4 linked regions of the Saccharomyces cerevisiae S288C genome follow. The protein of the gene in region 4 purifies or fractionates together with the protein of the main gene of each other region. This does not show direct contact. Each region holds a gene or a part of one and is shown on either strand. Other genes may lie near its edges.

Evidence for each region.
Region 1: the proteins of MRT4 (region 4) and HAS1 purify together in Saccharomyces cerevisiae (affinity purification with mass spectrometry; 5 studies listed by BioGRID, with this or other methods). This does not show direct contact.
Region 2: the proteins of MRT4 (region 4) and NOG2 purify together in Saccharomyces cerevisiae (affinity purification with mass spectrometry; 8 studies listed by BioGRID, with this or other methods). This does not show direct contact.
Region 3: the proteins of MRT4 (region 4) and TIF6 purify together in Saccharomyces cerevisiae (affinity purification with mass spectrometry; 7 studies listed by BioGRID, with this or other methods). This does not show direct contact.

Annotation. Positions count from the first base shown.
Region 1 is NC_001145.3:848,708-853,951, forward strand, and holds HAS1 (ATP-dependent RNA helicase HAS1), read right to left. Parts: upstream 2,885-5,244; coding exon 1,367-2,884; downstream 1-1,366. Other genes in the region: aminodeoxychorismate lyase ABZ2, read left to right, coding at 1-1,102; protein kinase TDA1, read left to right, coding at 3,923-5,244. UniProt on the Saccharomyces cerevisiae protein: ATP-dependent RNA helicase involved in 40S ribosomal subunit biogenesis. Required for the processing and cleavage of 35S pre-rRNA at sites A0, A1, and A2, leading to mature 18S rRNA.
Region 2 is NC_001146.8:720,401-726,471, reverse strand, and holds NOG2 (putative GTPase NOG2), read left to right. Parts: upstream 1-3,359; coding exon 3,360-4,169; intron 4,170-4,260; exon of another isoform or gene 4,261-4,534; intron 4,535-4,701; coding exon 4,702-5,352; downstream 5,353-6,071. Other genes in the region: RNA-binding ATPase activator ESF2, read left to right, coding at 2,166-3,116; CCR4-NOT core DEDD family RNase subunit POP2, read left to right, coding at 5,825-6,071. UniProt on the Saccharomyces cerevisiae protein: GTPase that associates with pre-60S ribosomal subunits in the nucleolus and is required for their nuclear export and maturation.
Region 3 is NC_001148.4:590,107-594,675, forward strand, and holds TIF6 (translation initiation factor 6), read right to left. Parts: upstream 2,964-4,569; coding exon 2,226-2,963; downstream 1-2,225. Other genes in the region: YPR015C (uncharacterized protein), read right to left, coding at 177-920; guanine nucleotide exchange factor DSS4, read right to left, coding at 3,380-3,811; RLF2 (Rlf2p), read left to right, coding at 4,370-4,569. UniProt on the Saccharomyces cerevisiae protein: Binds to the 60S ribosomal subunit and prevents its association with the 40S ribosomal subunit to form the 80S initiation complex in the cytoplasm. Is also involved in ribosome biogenesis.
Region 4 is NC_001143.9:422,795-427,452, reverse strand, and holds MRT4 (ribosome assembly factor MRT4), read right to left. Parts: upstream 1,212-4,658; coding exon 501-1,211; downstream 1-500. Other genes in the region: sphingosine N-acyltransferase LAC1, read left to right, coding at 1-158; putative ubiquitin-protein ligase UFD4, read left to right, coding at 1,578-4,658. UniProt on the Saccharomyces cerevisiae protein: Component of the ribosome assembly machinery. Nuclear paralog of the ribosomal protein P0, it binds pre-60S subunits at an early stage of assembly in the nucleolus, and is replaced by P0 in cytoplasmic pre-60S subunits and mature 80S ribosomes.

The sequences.
Region 1 (5,244 bases), on a different chromosome or scaffold from region 4:
GACTGATATGGAAAGTTACGATGAAGGAGGCCTAGTTGCTAATCCGAACTTCGAGGTTCTGGCCACTTTCAGGTACGACCCTGGTTTTGCACGCCAGTCAGCGTCAAAGAAAGAGATCTTTGAAACTCCAGACCCTCGATTAGGTTTGAGAGACGAAGATATTAGGCAGCAGATAATTAATGAGGATTACTCAAGTTATTTACGAGTAAGGGAGGTTAATTCCGGCGGTGACCTTCTCGAAAATATTCAGCATCCTGATGCTTGGAAGCATGATTGCAAGACCATTGTGTGCCAGCGTGTAGAAGATATGCTACAAGTCATTTATGAACGATTTTTTTTATTAGATGAACAATACCAAAGAATAAGAATAGCATTATCATACTTTAAAATTGACTTCAGCACGTCTCTGAATGATTTATTGAAGTTATTGGTTGAAAACTTGATTAATTGTAAAGAAGGAAATTCAGAGTATCACGAAAAAATTCAAAAAATGATCAACGAAAGGCAATGCTATAAAATGCGGGTACTTGTCTCTAAGACAGGAGATATACGAATTGAGGCAATTCCAATGCCTATGGAGCCTATCCTAAAATTAACAACCGATTATGACAGTGTTTCCACATACTTCATCAAAACGATGCTCAATGGATTTTTAATTGATAGCACAATAAATTGGGATGTTGTTGTTTCATCTGAACCATTGAACGCATCAGCTTTCACCAGTTTTAAAACCACTTCAAGAGATCATTACGCTAGGGCGAGAGTTCGCATGCAAACTGCTATAAATAACTTAAGAGGTTCAGAACCTACTTCTTCTGTCTCGCAATGCGAAATTTTATTTTCCAACAAATCTGGCCTGCTGATGGAAGGTTCAATAACAAACGTGGCTGTAATTCAAAAAGATCCTAACGGTTCTAAAAAGTATGTGACACCAAGATTAGCAACTGGATGTTTGTGCGGAACAATGCGTCATTATTTATTGCGGCTCGGCCTTATTGAAGAGGGAGATATAGATATAGGAAGCCTTACCGTTGGCAACGAAGTTTTGCTTTTCAATGGCGTCATGGGATGCATAAAGGGAACAGTGAAGACAAAATATTGAGCAGACGACAGATTTTCATATCAATGAAGTTTTTTTACAATAGTTTACAAATCATGATTTTACATACTCAAATATGTGCAGGTTGATACAGACAACGTACGTAGAAGACAACAAACAGAAAACAGCGGTTTATACATTTATTTAAATGACATACAGTGGAGAAGCAGAGAAAGGAAAAGGAGTGCGATGAGAACAGAAGATGAATACTTCGGTTGTGTTGGTTCCACGTACACATTAATAGCATTAAAAATTGATCCTCTGAAATTACTTATGAGTTTTACGTCTTTTGGTATTTGGCGTTTTTCCACTGGCACCAATTGTAATGTTAACCTTTGGAGGGACTGGAAAACCGTAAGACTTTGCTACTTTGGCTAAATCCAGCTTATCGATTTGATAGACAGTTTTCAAAGAGTGGGAAGCGTACGCTTGTAAATAAGATCTATAACCATCCTTGGCTGTTTGATGTAGATAATAGTTGGATTTAATTAATTTTTCTAATTGTGATTGAACGTTTGCAATTTTGTTTTCCGGGAATTCGTACTCATTTAATGGGACCTTGGAAGCCTTTAGATATCTTAAAAACCCTAATTCATTAGGTGTTAAAAACATTAAAGATTTACCCTTACCTTTAGTGCCTCTTGCGGTTCTTCCGACTCTATGAATATAATCTCTTGGATCATCAGGAGGGTCGAATTGAATGATCCAGTCCACAGCAGGGATATCTAGCCCTCTAGCTGCGACATCTGTACAAATCAAGATACCTCTTTCCGCATTACAGAATTCGAAAAATGTATTTGTTCTCTTTTGTTGTTTTTGCTTACCGTGTAATTCGAGGACTGGCAAATCAATATAGTTCAATAATTCAGCGTAATATTTCACAGAGTTACAAGATGATAAAAATACAATAATTTTCTTTTTTTGATTTCTTTTCAAGAAAGAAAATAACAACAAAAATCTCTTATCACTGTCACATACCACATAGCCTTGTTCTAATCCATCTGCGGTGGAGTTGTCGGTTTCAGGAACGACATTAATGAAAAGAGGGCCCGGTCTCAGCGAGATTCTAGCCAAATCCTCAACTTTGGTCGTTTGTGTAGCTGAAAATAACATGGATTGCCTATCTTCGTTTGGCAAGATCTTAATTATCTGCCTCATTTCATCTTCAAACCCAATTTCTAAGATTCTGTCCGCTTCATCGATAATCAAAGCCTTCAAGTTCTTGAATACAAATCCTTTTGTATTTTGTAAGTGATCCAATAATCTTCCAGGGGTAGCAATCAACATGTTAACACCTTTCATCAATTTTTCGGCTTCCTGTCTTCTATTTGCACCACCAATGACAATACCAAATGTCTGTGAATGGAATTCCATTAACTCTCTTGCCACTCCAAAAATCTGTAAAGCCAACTCTCTTGTAGGCGTAATGACAATTATACCGGTACCATTTCTTGGTTTGAATTTCAAAGAATGCAATAGTTCAATAGCAGGGATGAGAAACGCTAGAGTTTTACCAGAACCTGTCTTGGCAGCACCAAGAACATCCCTACCGGCCAAAAGAGGTGGGATAGTCCTTGCCTGAACAGAAGTCATAGTGGTAAATCCCATCTTTTCAATGGCCTTTAAAGTTGGCTGTGATAACTTTAGTTCTTCGAACTTTTCCACACAAGTAGTTTGTTCTCCCTCAGGTGCGGCATTGTTTTGTTTTGAAGTGCTCTTTTCATCTACTACAGGTTCTTCTGTAGATTCAGAATCTCTAGAACGTTTATTTGACGGGGTAGCCATACTTCTCCTGTTAATATTGCTCAGCTTATCTAATTATTATAGTATACAGTTATCCAATAGCTATGTACTCAAGTACCGTGTATACACTATAAAATCTCATCTCATCGCTAAAGCTAATATTGAAAAAAAAAAAAAAAAAAAAAAGAAAAAGCAAATAAAAAATTTTCAATTCGGGTAACGAAGAATCGACTCTCGCCGGGTAAACAATTCTTAGTCGTCATACACTCCTCTTTACGTTAAGAAAATAGAAGTAGCAGCGCTTTGTAAAGCATTAAAGCGTCATGGATTGCAAAATACACATAATATATCACTTGTGATAGTGAGAAATGGAATGAAGTGGTTTAAGATGCTCTTTTACCAATAAACATATTGCGCCTATCAAATCATTTTCCACCCCTGTTAACTGATACAGATATAGCCTTACATATAACTTTTGCACTCCCTAAAATTACCATGGCTGTTCACCGCCTGCTATCATCCATGTTTTTACATACATCTATTAGGTTTGCCATCTTAGCCGCCGAAGCTATCGTTGCCGGTACAGGCGCTCCTTGAATAACCCCCTCCCCCCCACGCTATTCTTCAAATTCCGATTTCAGCTTCTCTTTGTTTTTCCTTTTTTGGCACCTCGGAAAAACCTCCACGTGTTAGGTTATTCCGCCGATTCCACGGGTGGGGTGCTACCAAGACTCCTGAAAAAGAAACTGTATGACGAAAAGAAAAAAAAAAAGCTGCTTGAATTCCAACACCGCTTTCTTGTTCTGACAATAGAAAGGGGGATTCCTAAAAAAAGAAAAAGAGGGCGGGGTTTATCATGTACTCAGAATATGAAAACGTGTCGAACGGGGATGACTTCTTCTGCTTCTTTACTTCTTTCTATTTAGAGTGACAGTTTTTTTATTTGTTTTGCTAACTTGTTTATTTATTAATTTCTTGTTTGCTCCTTCAGTTACCTACCACGACTGTCTCAGCCAAACCGCGATATTTTCATACAATTGACATTACAACAGTTCAAAAAGAAAAATACACATCCAGGATATGACTACAGCTAGTTCTTCTGCTTCCCAGCTACAACAGCGCCTGCCGGAAGAAAAACCTTGGCCGCAACTGAGTGGCAGCAATGCAGACGCTCAAACCTTCAAATGTAAATACGTAACCAACCACAACTCCTTGGGCGATGGGAATTTTAGCGTCGTGAAAGAATGTATGAATATACACACAAAGGATTTGTACGCGATGAAGCTTATTAAGAAACAAACTGTCAAGAACAAAATTCAACTTATTCAAAGAGAGTTCGACCTTTTGAGGTCAATAAGCGAGAAAATCAGAGATATGGAAAAAAAGAATGAACATTCTTTGGACATTTTTGAGGGGCATCACCATATTTTACAACTTTTCGACTATTTTGAGACGGCAGATAACATTGTCCTGATCACTCAGCTGTGTCAGAAGGGAGATTTGTATGAAAAAATTGTTGAAAATCAGTGTTTAGACCTCGAAACTCAAGTTACCTCGTACTGCGCCTGTTTGGTGAGCGTTCTCGAGTTTTTGCATTCTCAAGGTATTGTTCATAGAGACTTGAAAGCAGAAAACGTCTTATTCAGATTGAGAGTGAACGAAAACGAAAAAAACCTACAGGGTGAACACCACGGAGATTTCAAATACGATCTCTTGGCACACGACCTAGTTCTCGCCGATTTTGGTCTTGCTGCTGAATATAACACAAGTAAGGTAAACTCGTTAAAGGAGTTTGTTGGAACCATCTCGTATATTGCTCCAGAAATCGTCAAGTGCAAAGGTGTCGGTGAAATGACTCCTGATCAAGTTGGCAAACTAGACAAGTATGGTTGTCCGGTGGATATATGGGCCCTTGGTGTACTGACATATTTCATGGCCTTCGGCTATACGCCCTTTGACTGTACCACAGACGACGAAACTCTGGAATGTATTTCAAAATGTGACTATTACGTCGACGAACAAATGATGCACGACCCTAAATACGAACAATTTTGGAATTTTGTTCAATGCTGTTTTACTATTGACCCGGCCGTTAGGCGTTCTGCTAAGAATTTGAAACAGCATCCCTTTATTAAGGATTATTTTGCTACTTCAAATTCTTTGAATACTAAGGACACGCCGAATTTCTCCTTTCATCCAACAATAAGAAGGGTATCTTCTACAGCGTCCATGCACACATTGAGGTCTCCTTCCAAATCAAGAAAGACAACTACTCTAGCGTATTTAAATATGGATGGCGGGTCCTCTGAAACTTCCACCGCCTTCAGCAGCAAGATGGATTTGCCTGACCTTTACGTTGATAGAACCATTAATTCTCGTGAAAGATCATTGAATAGAATTCG
Region 2 (6,071 bases), on a different chromosome or scaffold from region 4:
ACGGAATGTTACTTATCTTATATATTATATAAAATATGAATCATGCTAAGTGGTGGAAGCGCGGAATCTCGGATCTAAACTAATTGTTCAGGCATTTATACTTTTGGGTAGTTCAGCTAGGGAAGGACGGGTTTTGTCTCATGTTGTTCGTTTTGTTATAAGGTTGTTTCATATGTGTTTTATGAACGTTTAGGATCTCAAAATGTCATACTGACGTATCTCATTTTGAGATACAACAAAAAGTATAAATCTTTGGAGGGTTGGCCGAGTGGTCTAAGGCGGCAGACTTAAGATCTGTTGGACGGTTGTCCGCGCGAGTTCGAACCTCGCATCCTTCAGTATTTTTTTTTATTTTGTCGGGGCCACCAGATCTTTAATGGCAAGACAAAGCGTTTTCAGATACATGAAATACATTGAAGCTATCTTTTTGAAGAAGAATACCTGCGTAGTGTTCTATGATTGTTCAAATAATATTTTAAAATGGTATTTTACTACTGTGTACATTTTATATGCTTAAATAAAAAAGAAAGTAGAGCACCCAATGTACGTGTGGTAAGGAAATAAATGTTCATAATTTTCATTAATGCATCAAACGGGATAAATGTTTTGGAAGAACGCAAATTTTGAAAATAGATTCCATTGGCTCTTGATAGTTGCTTTACGTATATTTTGTTTAGCCTTCTTTCCCTCATATAAGTATGCAGCTCTTCATTTTCCAAACCAGGATGAGATATGGATATATAGTTTCCCACTGAATCTTTGTGTCAATGCTACGCCCATCTTCTGCACGTCAGAACAGAATAACTACCTTGAGAAGAAAAAAAAAATACAAATGGTGGTTACTTGATAATGAATATGCTCTAATTGAAAAGAAATCTCCCTAGATATGATACCGCCCTCGACGACCCGATCTTTGGTATTTGGTAGGACTGTATCATCTTATTCCTCACATCATAGCAATTTTGTTCGTCATAATGTTCCTTTAGTTCTCAGAGTCATATGAATTCTATTTCCATAGAATTTTCCATTTTGAGCAATACGGGGAGTCGCTACCTCGATTCTAAGTTATGCTGCATTGACTTTATTGTGTGATATACATATCGATGTACTAGAAAGGGTTTGGTTTGGCCAAGTTTTTTATTATGAGGGTGCATTTTTTCTGTTTTAACACATTTCTCATGATCCTAATAGAAGGTTGAGTAGAGATGTACATAATATTTTGCGGAAAGTTTCGACACGTTCATTAGGTTCTAAAAAATTATTATTTTTCATAAGCTATTGAGATCTTATCACCTTGCTCTGTAATTCTAAAGTTGTTCTAAAACCGCAATTAATGTTTCAATTTTGGCGCTATTAATAATGATGGATACTCAACGAGGCGTACCAGTAGCATTTTGCCATCTTAACACATTAGCAAACGTTGCTATTATTGATCCTTCCATAAGTAATTTCACACATCCATTTTCGTCCCTAAGATAAAACAAAGTCTCACAATTCGTATATTGATATTTCAAACCCCAAAGCCTGTAGCCTTTTGATTATGACCGACTTCCCAGACGTGGCCATATTGATAAAGGTGCTTTCTGATCAAAGTTAGTATTAAAGAAAGGGTAAAATTCGTAATATCGTAATATTGTAATATGAACCAAAAACGTTCACAATGTGTAGGATGCACTACCAAATAGGTTGCGTTGTAGTACTCATCTCTCGGTTGCGCGACTAGAAAGTTACTAGAAAACTCCGGAATTCCTTATAATATACTGCAATAATGCACATGTATCTTTTCAGTGCAAATTAATTATAGGAACAAACAGATAGCGACAATTCTTTAAGGGCTGCTGGATTGACAACCCCTTCATCGACCATATTTGATTAGCCAGCCACCAAATAGCGTTTCAATTGACAAACTACATTATCTCGTGAAGAATATTTAAACGGTGATATTGGGTCTGTCTGATCACATTTCCAAAGGCAATGACGTGTAAATTTTTTCTTTCTCTTGTTTTATTATTTTGAATTACTTCGTTATAGCCAGCTTTTCTCACATTGCGCAGTAAAACTTTCGCTATTAAGATTTTGAAAAATTTCAACCTGACAAACTACCCATTGCTATGTAAGTACAAAGCAAACAGTTTACTGCAGCAGAGTGAAGTAAATTTTTACGCATGAGTGAAAAAGTAAATAGTGACTTTGAAGACTTTTCCTCAGATGAGGAAACCGATCAACATAACGTCTTAATTCAGACCAAGAAAAAAATTTCTAGTAAGGATGATATCTTCAGTAAGAAGGTAGAAGACATCGAAAGTGAAAACGAGTCAGACATAGAAGAAGAGCAAAAACAAGAAGAAAAAGAGGATGTAGAACAACCAGATAAAGAGAATGGAGAAAAGCTCGATCGAGAAGTAGAAGAACAAGCTTCGTCCACCACTTCACTGGATTTAAAAACAGAAAAACTAAGGCAACTGGTAAAATCAAAGGCCGCCAAGAAGTCTAAACACAAGACTGGGGTGGTATACTTCTCCAGTATTCCACCTTACATGAAACCTGCAAAAATGAGACAAATATTAACTCGTTTTGGTGAGGTAGATAGACTATTTCTAAAGAAAGAGGACGATCAAAAGTACAAGCAAAGAGTTAAAGGTGGAGGAAACAAGAAAAACAAGTATGAAGAAGGTTGGGCCGAGTTTATTAGGAAAAGAGACGCCAAATTGTGTGCGGAGACGTTGAACGGGAACATTATTGGTGGCAAGAAAGGTACTTTCTACCATGATGATATCCTGAACGTGAAGTACCTCCCAGGTTTCAAATGGGCAGATTTGACTGAACAGATTGCCCGCGAGAACGATATCAGACAGGCCAAGTTGGAGATGGAAATCTCGCAGGCCAACAAACTGAACGCGGAATTCATTAGAAACGTGGAGCAAAGTAAGATGATACAAAACATTAAGAACTCTAGGAAGCGCGCCGGAAAAGAAGGAGAGTCTGCAGATTCTCACCCTCACAGGGAATTTAAACAACGTCGTGTGGAAACAAGCCGTGCCAATGCTCCCTCTGATATCAAGCAGCAATCCTCTGGGTCCAAAGACTTGGGTAATGTTCTCACCAATTTACTATAATATAGAATCAATAACAAATATATAAACACAACCTGTCATTTAGCACGTTTTTTTGCCCGATGCTCATCGCAAAAATTTTTCGCTTGAAGAAAAATTTTTCACTTTTCTTCTTTTTGGGCATATAAAGAAGCGTAGAATATATAAAAGATATTTACTACTTGTTAGTACTTTCCCTTAAGTGTTAACTTTGAAGATCTGTTGACTTGCAGCAAAACCACTAAATATCAGGGGAGGAATAATACAATGGGTACTGGTAAGAAAGAGAAATCTAGACGTATTCGTGAAGGTGACACCAAAGATGGTAATCTTCGTGTGAAGGGTGAAAATTTCTACAGAGACTCCAAGAGAGTCAAATTCCTGAATATGTACACTAGTGGGAAGGAGATCAGGAATAAGAAAGGTAATTTAATTAGGGCCGCTTCTTTCCAGGACTCCACAATACCGGATGCGAGGGTCCAACCAGATCGTCGTTGGTTCGGTAACACAAGAGTGATATCTCAGGACGCACTGCAGCATTTCAGAAGTGCATTGGGTGAAACCCAAAAAGATACATATCAAGTTCTTCTGAGAAGAAATAAGCTTCCCATGTCATTGTTGGAAGAAAAGGACGCAGATGAATCCCCAAAAGCCAGAATTTTGGATACCGAAAGTTATGCTGATGCGTTTGGGCCCAAAGCCCAAAGAAAGAGACCACGTCTTGCTGCATCCAATCTAGAGGACTTGGTCAAGGCTACAAATGAAGACATTACCAAGTATGAGGAAAAGCAAGTCTTAGATGCCACATTAGGACTAATGGGGAACCAGGAAGACAAAGAAAATGGGTGGACCTCCGCAGCAAAAGAAGCTATTTTCAGTAAGGGTCAATCCAAACGTATTTGGAACGAATTATATAAAGTCATCGATTCGTCTGACGTGGTAATACATGTTCTAGATGCAAGGGATCCATTGGGTACCCGTTGTAAGTCCGTGGAAGAGTATATGAAGAAGGAAACACCACACAAGCATTTAATTTATGTTCTTAATAAGTGTGATTTGGTACCTACCTGGGTTGCAGTATGTTAACTTTTTTTTTTTTTTTTTTGATTCTTTCCAACCAAGAGGATAGCACGAGAGATTTTTTTTTTCGATAGAGTATGATTTTTATTACCAAACCTTTTTGTCAGGGTGCTTCTCTATCCGTTTTAGGATAAACTTATCTACAGAAGTGTCTGTTACTGTTTTGGAAGAGTAATACTGTTCGCTTATCCATATTTCCCCGTTCTGGGGAAGCCTCATGGGTAAATTAGAAGGACAACCTTTGTTTTAAAGGTATACCTTCGCTTTTTAGAACAGCGAGGATCTTATGAGTTGAGCTTTTGTTATTTGAGACTTTATCTCGGGCTCCATACAATATGTTCGTAGTAAAGATCCTCACAATTTTCTACTTTTTTTTTTTTTTTAGTTTAATCCACTCTTCGAAACAATCAATCTCGGCTATAACAATGATTATTACATTCTCTTGGGGCAAAAGATTACCTATTATGAAACAAAATGTATTTTTTACTAACAGAAGGTTTTTTTTTTTCAATTCTAACTTTACAAGTAGGCAGCTTGGGTCAAACATTTGTCAAAGGAACGTCCAACTTTGGCGTTTCACGCATCTATTACCAACTCTTTCGGTAAAGGTTCGTTAATTCAGTTGCTACGTCAGTTCTCACAGTTGCATACTGATAGAAAGCAAATATCTGTAGGGTTTATCGGCTATCCAAACACTGGTAAATCGTCCATCATTAACACATTGAGAAAGAAAAAGGTGTGTCAAGTTGCACCAATCCCTGGTGAAACTAAGGTCTGGCAATATATTACTCTTATGAAAAGAATTTTTTTGATTGATTGTCCAGGTATTGTGCCGCCTTCTAGTAAAGACTCCGAAGAAGACATTTTATTCAGAGGTGTTGTCAGAGTCGAACACGTCACACACCCAGAACAATATATTCCAGGTGTTTTAAAACGTTGTCAGGTAAAGCACTTGGAAAGAACTTACGAGATCTCAGGATGGAAGGATGCCACGGAGTTTATTGAAATTCTGGCAAGGAAACAAGGTAGATTACTGAAGGGTGGTGAGCCTGATGAGTCTGGTGTTTCTAAGCAAATATTGAATGATTTTAATAGAGGTAAAATCCCTTGGTTCGTCCTTCCACCTGAAAAGGAAGGGGAAGAAAAACCAAAGAAGAAAGAAGTTGAGAAGACGGCATAGAGGTAAAAACGGACAACCGGTGTATAATATTAATTTAAGATTACAAGTGATTTTTTTTTTCTTTTTTTTTGTTATTTTTTTTTTTGTTCTTATTATATGGCAGCAAACATTCTTGGGGAAACAACATAGATGGGTAATTATTTAGTTTATAAAGTATAATATTCCAATAGAAAACTTAAGTTCGGTAATGATATAGCCCTCTCTATAGTATAAGGTAAATCTCATTATACCAGTCATTCCAAACGGAATTCGGTCCTTACCCGCTGCTCGCTCTTTTTTCATCATTATGATATTTTCTTTATTGAGTCTTTTCAATTATAGTAGTAGAATGATAACTGACAAGAAAGATCAGTTTGAAGTTTATTAGCGTGTCTCGTTATCAGGGCTTCCTTGTTTTTCATACTGGAAATACTTCGAACGATTAGAAACAGGCAACTCAATTTTATACATTTATAAAGGGTCAAAAAGGATTATGCAATCTATGAATGTACAACCGAGGGTATTAGCTGTAGGAGGTGAGCAGTTTTTCTCTCAGAGGCAGGCTTCTGAACAACACCAGCAGCAAAACATGGGACCTCAGGTGTATTCGCCAAAGGTTAATAGAGCAAGAATGTTTCCTCAAGGGATGCCTGTAAATACAATTAATGGCTCTGTTAATCAGGAGATGAACAATGCCTATCTTTTGAAGCAGAAGAACGAGCCACTGTTAACTCAGCAAC
Region 3 (4,569 bases), on a different chromosome or scaffold from region 4:
TAATTCGAACAAAAATCCTCTCACTATTCAAAAATCGGAAGTCAGTAAAAATTGATTGTTGGCTACATGTAATATATTATATGGAACTAATACATATCTATACTCATTTTACTTGGTAAAAAGTGTCACACCTACATCAAAATCACACTGAAAACAAAATATTCTAAACAATGCTTTCACTGATGTTTTTTCTTTGCTATTTTCTTTTGATGGGTTCTTAAATGCCTTAACATGTTACTCTTGACATTGAAAGATTTGTTGCAATGCTCCCAAGTACATTTGAAAGGTGTGTCTCCCGTATGTATTAAGTAATGAGTCCTCAGTGTTGAAGGTCTCGAACAAACCTTCCCACAGATAGGACATTGTTTCCGTAGCTTTACCACAGCGCGCAGTTGCTTTTGTATAAGATCTAAGTCGGTTTGTGTTTGGGATAATAGCGTCCCAGGATTTTGCCCTATATGCACATTCGGGAGGGAGTACTGCTCGTTGCTCACCGCTCTGTGGTTTTCCTCCTGAAAATGCTGCATTGATGGAGGTACAGATTGGGCAGTATAAGAGGAAGCTGCCGTTGAATAAATAGGGCAACAAGATTGACGTTCAACGAACGTTAAAGGGAAAGGTTGCGGTGTTGCTATAACCGGCGAAAAGATAATAGAGTTGGGACTTGATCTCCATACGGGATCCTCTGTCTGATGCAGAGAAGAAGGTGCGTAATGGTAAGCGGGAGGTGGTAGTGCGGCCTGGTTTATTTCAGGAGTAAGTGGAGCGTGCATAATCGACGAACAAGGTGGAAGATGCACTTCCCTTTTGGTCGTGTTCGAGACTTCCTTTGAAGATTGCGCATAGGATCCCCCTATGTTAGACGATGAACATTTCATTGGGCTACAAAGCATAGATTCTAGCGTTTTTGTTCTCCACATTTAATTAGTGTTGAAGATGAAAATTTATGTATATTAAAAGTTAGAAACGGGTCAATGAAGACGTTTGCTTATCGTATTGGATCCTTGCAATGCCCTCCAAAAAGAAGAAAAAAGTTGGACCAAGAAAACAATTATAATTTTGTAATTTGAAATATCTACCAATGAGGTCAAAAGAGCGACAACAACTAGCGCTTATATAATATAAAGAATTCTTGGGACTGTATCTCATGGCAACCAAATGCCGTTCATATTTAGGGTTTCAGTGGGAAAAGATTTCCGGTGCTTTACGCTCCTTGTACAAACAAGTGCTGCGAAACTTTCTGTGGAAATCGTGCCTTTTAAACCATTAGTGAAGGCTCCAGATAGAGTTGTCACAGAAAACAGCGTGGCGGACTTATTTTTTTGCAACGATTTTCTGGAAACAATAGAGGAAGAATTTTTGGCGTACGAAAAGGAACGATGCCCCCAACACCTCAACAATACTACGGAAGTTTCTTCGAGCGGAAAAACATCGAAATACTAGCTGTTTCTGGATATGAGAGTGGGTATGCGTGGCAATGGAACTCAGGGAGTTGTTGCTATTTCAGTGAGTACGATGGATCAGGGTGTTTATATCTCAAGAACTACCAAGTTGAAGAGATGAAACGTAGTTCGCTTGATAGCACATAAATGGACGGCTGACTTGTTGTACACCATATATATATATATATATATATAATTTTACGGCTCACTTCTGTACCGCTTGTGAAAATCTTACCGCACAACCCCCGGTGTTCTATTAGCTTTGTTCGATTTTATTAATCTTTGCCAAGAGATACTACTCTCCGGGTTCTGGTGGAGACAATAGTATGTCCTAGCAGCTAGACAAAAAAGCCTTCAAATGGTCTACGTGCGGTGCAATTTTTCTTGGAGAAGTTCTATATTGTCTAACAGATACTTGGAACTGAGCAAGTTGTCAGAATAGTCGGAGAAGCGGACGGAAAATCCATATTATGCAAAGAATTTGCTTAGAAACCCGTTACATATGCTTCGAACAAAGTGACTACATGTTACAATTAAGACGCCTACTTAAACTGCAATGAATAGTCACCCATAGGTATAAGAAAAAAAAAAAAAATAAAAGAGTACATAATATACATACAACTAAAATTAAAATGCATAGAAACCTAAGAAAAAATATTTGTTATACCAAAAAAAATACCACAAATGATACGTAAGAAGATTATTGCAACATGGGGACTCTTTCGCATACAACTGTAAACAGACTTGAGGAAGGAGGGGAATCCCCTCAGGAGTACCTGACATCTATGAGTAGGTTTCAATCAAAGTATCACGTAGGTTACCTGAAATGGATTCTGGTTGGGCATCTTGCAAGCGGAAAATACTTTCAATAACACTCAATTCTGGGGCTGTAGTATCCAGACCTGTAACTGCCAAGTAATCGTTCACAACCATACCGGCACCGACAACTGAACTACCACGGTTAACGGTACCAGCCACCAAAGGAACTTGTAATAAGGAGGACAATTCTTCTTGATCTTGGACACTTGTTTGTGGATGCACTAACCCACCTTGATTACTTAAAGAACAATATGACCCAACTAAGATATTACCTGATATGGTTTGACGGAAGACCTCAACGCCTAGTACATCACTTATCAATTCTTCAGTTTCTCTGTCGATATCTGGATGCACTAAAGCAACGTAATCATTACAACAGATGACGTTACCCAAGGCAGATAGTCTTTCCTCTACCCTTTGAATCTTAACGGAATCCGGCAAACTATTTCTTAAATGTTGTAATTCTTGATCAGTAGTTTGGGTTGGAACTAGCAGACCTCTACGGTTACCCGCGGTCATTCTACCGATGATACGCGTACCAGCAATAGTGGTATGAACGATGGGAATAGCATCTCCTAATTCAGCTTCAAATGCAGAGTAAAAGTTTTCAGAACCACCAACAGCAACCAAACAGTAAGTATTCGTTAATTTGGAGAATACACCGATTTCATTGGAGTTTTCAAATTGAGTCCTGGTAGCCATTATTGTTTTCTAGAGTTAGTTGAATTATGCTCTTGTTCCAAATACTCTGTCGTATTGCTTCTTGTAATTATACTATAAGACCAACGAGGGATGAGGCTTCTTTTAATTATGCAATATTGAATATTGCGTTACATACAGTAAAAGAAAAAATCTGCACAAAGGAATATGGGTTTAAATCTTTAATTAATAAAAATTTTCCGAAAATTTTCGTTTGGCCCTCGGAAAAAACGGGTAATGCTCATCCATTAGGATTTCGTCCAGAATGCCTATATTATTACATAAAGTGATGCTAGTAATGTAAACCAGAACTACTTCTATAGCTTGTTATAGGTGGCCCATGCCAGTGAAATAGGTGGTTGGTTACTCTTTTTTTTTTCTGGTGGCGGCAACCTATTTTTGTTCTAGTGCCTACCAAACTAATTCCTTCCCATAATTTGAAGGCTTCGCAAGCTTAGTAGATGCAAAACTCTTTCTTCATTCTTTGTCTGATCTTGCACCTTACATATTATTCCAATAGGACCTTTATCACAATCAGCGCATATCAAATATTTCAAGCACTTTTTAATCTTCCAGCTGGAATTACCATACTCAAAGACAAAATCACTCTTATCACTCAAATCCCCTAATATAGAAGAAGGAATTTCTCTAGATACACCAACATTATCAAAGTCCCAAACATCAGGGACGACCAAGAAGTTGCTCTCGCTGGGGGTAGCATCTCGCATAGTTCTGTTTTCCAGCAACTTGAATTCGCTGTGCACCTGCTCTGGTAAGTTTATTATGTTATCATCGTTGATGGTAATAACTGCACTATGACAGCCCTCAAAGGAACACGTAGCCTTGCTCATGTTCTCTGTTATTCCCCCATTTTTCCAGCCCTTTTAATTGAACTTTCTACTCATACCAGTCAAGTTTTTGATATGTACTTCATTAATTAAAATGATCGATATATAATCGTTCAGTACGACAATGACGATATTCACAGTACTACTAAACTAGCGGGTCCCCGGCGCCCAGTCAGCCTTTACGAAGAGAAAGGAAGAATGATATGGATATGCTGAAAAGTATTTTGATACAGAAGAAGGGAGTTTTGAGTTGTCGGGCTCATCGTGCTGGATCAAGTGGTTCCCTACCTGGCGCGATCTATAGTGTCAGACGGCTTGCATATATGCTCACGCGTTCGGACGCGTGAAAGGCTTCAACTGAAAAAAAGAAAGATCTACATCGTTAAACCAAAAGGTTTGCGAACTGACTAAAAAATAAAATTCTTATTGGTTCCACTTCTTGAAATACATCATTTTTCCAGCCAATTCGTTGAGGAGAAGAACATTCTGTTATTGCTGTTACAGAGAATTATATGTTTTAGTGAACCTCAAGACAGAAGAGAATCGAAAGGAAAAGGGAAAATGGAGCAACATCTCAAATCAATTCCTCTACAGGACGACACTAAGAAAAAAGGCATACTATCTTTTTTCCAGAATACAACTACGGTAAAGAGTAATAAGTTTCTCACGAAAGAGAAGGATGTCATCACTCTAGATGATCCTAAAGAGGATGTCAGTGGACCTATGATAGAAACTGTTAAACAAGAAACCATGAAAAGCAT
Region 4 (4,658 bases):
TGAATCTTTATTGGCTGTTCCTTATTTTTAGAGTTCTTTACAGGATTCTATGGAGAGGTATTCTCAAGGATGACAGAAGTGATAGTGAATCAGACGAAGAAAGTGATGAAAGTTCCACTACTCCAACTGACAGTACTCCAACGAAAAAGGATATTTGAAGGAAAACGGTGTTTTTAAGTAGTATAACCATTACACATTAATTCTTTACACATTAATTCTTTTACGGTCCTGCTCTCACGTTCTTCCTTATTGGTTTATGTAAACAGGTATTTTTATAGTATTCTTTTCCAGACATACAGTGTTATCTTTTTTTCTTGCTTTCGTGCCGCTAAAGAGCTGTGAAGATCAAAAGTGATTTACGCTTAGTTAGCATGAATATAAATTCTCAGTTGAAAAGAAGCTATGTTACATTTATGAGCGTTGCTTTAGTATATCTATACAAAAAAAAGAAATTTTTATACAATGGTCTATTAAAAAAGGCTTCCAAATAATAGTTCAGCTTATTCCATGTTGATGTTAGTGCTTTCAACAGTGGAGCTATCGTTGTCATAGTAGGCCGACACCTTGACTTTGAATTCAGAAGCAGCGATACCGAATTGTTTCAGTATTAAAGCTTGACGAACATCTAATTTTTCTCCTTCAGTGCAAACTAAATATGGACTGTCAATGGTGATCTTACCAGCTTTGATTTTAGTTGGAATTTCAAATTTGTTTCTCATAGTTGGCTCTAAAGAATGAATCATTGGAACATCTTCCTCAGCTGGAATTTGACCACCACGTGAGTAGACAATGCCCTCAGGAATTGTAAATGTTAGTGGTGCTTTCGTGTTCGGTCTTGAATAGTCTGAACGAACGTATGACTTAAAGTATTCCTTGACAGTGTTGACATCCTCATCAGTGAACAATAAACCAGTGACACCGCTACAAAGCTTACTCAATTGATACAGATTTTCTTTGTATTCTTCTTCCCTCTTTTCTCCCAATGCTTTTTGTAAAACTTTCCTCTTACCCATAATTAACTTAGAGCCTGCCCAAGATGTTCTGATTTCTTGTAAAACTGGAGTTCTTACGTCGTCAAGATGTAGGACCCAGACGTATCTATAAGTATCTAAGGCTTCCCTCACTTCATCGAAAATTCTTTCTTTATTTTCTCTGCCCTTTTTATCGGTTTGTGCTAAAGTGACTAGCTTGGAACGTTTTGATCTTGGCATGATTCAACTATAATAAATCTTTTATGGACGATAGACAGTGATGTACGTATAGCAAAAGGAATCAGCTCTGCTTAGCCAAAGTACTACAAATATTTGCAACTTTTCAAAAGCTCATCGCATTTTTCTGGAAAAAAATTTTTTCTTTCACCTTCGCCGGGTAAAGTCCTAATGGTTGGGTTTTCTGAACTGAAATCAAATTGTGGGATCATAGCCAACAGTAGTTGGAAAGGGGAATAGCTTTGATCATACCCAGGGAAAGACCACTTTCTGGGATCGATACTTTCCTTTCTGTGTGCTTTATTAACAACAATATATCTCAGGTGTGAAAATTTTGGATAAACATTTAAAATAGAAGAGTAGCCAAGCATGTCTGAAAATAATTCGCACAACCTTGATGAACATGAGTCCCATAGCGAAAACAGTGATTATATGATGGATACGCAGGTAGAAGATGACTATGATGAGGATGGCCATGTACAGGGTGAGTACTCTTATTATCCTGATGAAGATGAAGATGAACATATGCTTTCTAGCGTCGGAAGTTTTGAGGCAGATGATGGTGAAGATGACGATAACGATTACCATCATGAAGATGATTCTGGACTTTTATATGGATATCATAGAACTCAGAATGGCAGTGACGAAGACAGAAATGAAGAAGAAGATGGACTTGAACGTTCTCACGATAATAATGAATTTGGCAGCAACCCCCTACATTTACCTGACATTTTGGAAACATTCGCACAAAGACTAGAACAAAGAAGACAAACAAGTGAAGGACTTGGGCAACACCCGGTTGGAAGAACACTACCCGAGATTTTATCGATGATTGGAGGAAGGATGGAGAGGAGCGCAGAGAGTTCGGCAAGGAATGAGCGGATTTCTAAATTGATAGAGAATACTGGGAATGCCTCCGAGGATCCTTATATTGCAATGGAGAGTTTAAAAGAACTTTCTGAAAACATATTAATGATGAATCAAATGGTTGTCGATAGAATTATACCGATGGAAACCTTAATAGGTAATATAGCTGCCATACTCTCTGATAAAATTTTACGGGAAGAATTAGAATTACAAATGCAAGCTTGTAGATGCATGTATAATCTTTTTGAGGTCTGCCCTGAATCTATTTCAATAGCTGTTGATGAACACGTTATACCAATTTTACAAGGAAAATTGGTAGAGATCAGTTACATTGACCTCGCAGAACAAGTTTTAGAAACGGTGGAATATATTTCTAGAGTACATGGGAGAGACATTTTAAAAACGGGCCAATTATCAATCTACGTCCAATTCTTCGATTTTTTAACTATACATGCGCAGAGGAAGGCTATCGCAATTGTTTCGAACGCCTGTAGCAGTATCCGAACGGATGACTTTAAGACCATTGTTGAAGTACTTCCAACGCTGAAGCCAATTTTCTCGAATGCGACAGACCAACCAATATTAACCAGGCTTGTAAATGCCATGTACGGTATTTGCGGGGCGTTGCATGGGGTTGACAAATTTGAGACTTTGTTTTCGTTGGATTTAATCGAAAGAATAGTTCAGCTAGTTTCTATTCAGGATACCCCCTTGGAGAATAAACTGAAATGTTTGGATATTTTAACCGTATTAGCGATGAGTAGTGATGTACTTTCAAGAGAACTGAGAGAGAAAACTGACATTGTCGACATGGCAACACGATCATTCCAGCATTATAGTAAAAGTCCTAACGCAGGGTTACATGAAACACTGATTTATGTCCCAAACAGTTTATTGATTAGCATTTCTAGATTTATAGTTGTATTGTTTCCTCCCGAGGATGAAAGAATACTGTCAGCGGATAAATATACCGGAAATAGCGACCGTGGCGTAATTTCTAACCAGGAAAAGTTTGATTCCCTAGTTCAATGTCTAATTCCAATTCTCGTTGAAATTTATACAAATGCTGCTGACTTTGACGTAAGAAGATACGTACTTATTGCTTTACTGAGGGTTGTATCATGCATAAATAATTCCACAGCAAAGGCAATCAATGATCAACTTATTAAGTTAATCGGATCTATCCTGGCCCAAAAAGAAACAGCGTCTAACGCTAATGGTACTTACTCATCAGAAGCTGGTACACTGTTGGTTGGTGGTCTCTCGTTGCTTGACTTAATTTGTAAAAAGTTTTCCGAACTGTTCTTTCCTTCCATCAAAAGAGAGGGCATTTTTGATTTGGTTAAGGATTTGTCTGTGGATTTCAATAACATTGATTTAAAGGAAGACGGGAATGAAAATATTTCACTTTCTGACGAAGAAGGGGATTTGCATAGCAGTATTGAGGAATGTGATGAGGGTGATGAAGAATATGATTACGAATTTACTGATATGGAAATTCCTGATTCAGTAAAACCAAAGAAAATTTCAATACACATTTTCAGAACTCTATCTCTAGCTTATATTAAAAACAAGGGTGTGAACCTAGTTAATAGAGTACTTTCTCAGATGAACGTTGAGCAAGAAGCAATAACAGAGGAGCTCCATCAAATCGAAGGCGTTGTTTCTATTTTAGAAAATCCTTCCACTCCGGACAAAACTGAAGAGGATTGGAAGGGAATTTGGTCTGTTTTAAAAAAATGTATTTTCCATGAAGATTTCGACGTGTCAGGTTTCGAATTTACTTCTACAGGGCTAGCTTCCTCCATAACTAAAAGAATTACATCCTCAACGGTATCCCATTTCATTCTTGCTAAATCATTTTTAGAGGTATTTGAGGATTGTATTGACAGATTTTTAGAAATCCTACAATCTGCTCTCACAAGGCTGGAGAATTTCTCTATAGTTGATTGCGGTTTACACGATGGTGGTGGTGTATCTTCACTGGCTAAAGAGATAAAAATTAAGTTGGTTTATGATGGCGATGCAAGCAAAGATAATATTGGTACTGATTTATCATCTACTATCGTTTCGGTCCATTGCATAGCTTCTTTTACCTCACTTAATGAGTTTTTGAGACACAGAATGGTAAGAATGCGTTTTTTGAATTCATTAATCCCAAACCTTACATCTTCCAGTACCGAAGCTGATAGGGAAGAAGAAGAAAATTGCTTGGATCATATGAGAAAAAAGAACTTTGACTTTTTTTATGATAATGAAAAAGTTGACATGGAGTCTACAGTATTTGGTGTGATATTTAATACATTCGTCAGGCGAAATCGTGACTTAAAAACTTTATGGGATGATACACATACAATCAAATTTTGCAAAAGTTTAGAAGGTAACAATAGAGAGAGTGAGGCAGCCGAGGAAGCTAATGAGGGGAAAAAGTTAAGAGATTTTTATAAAAAAAGAGAATTCGCACAGGTTGATACTGGATCTTCAGCGGATATTCTGACATTGCTGGATTTTCTACATAGCTGCGGTGTTAAAAGCGACAGTTTTATCAACTCAAAACTAAGCGCTAAGCTCGCTAGACAACTA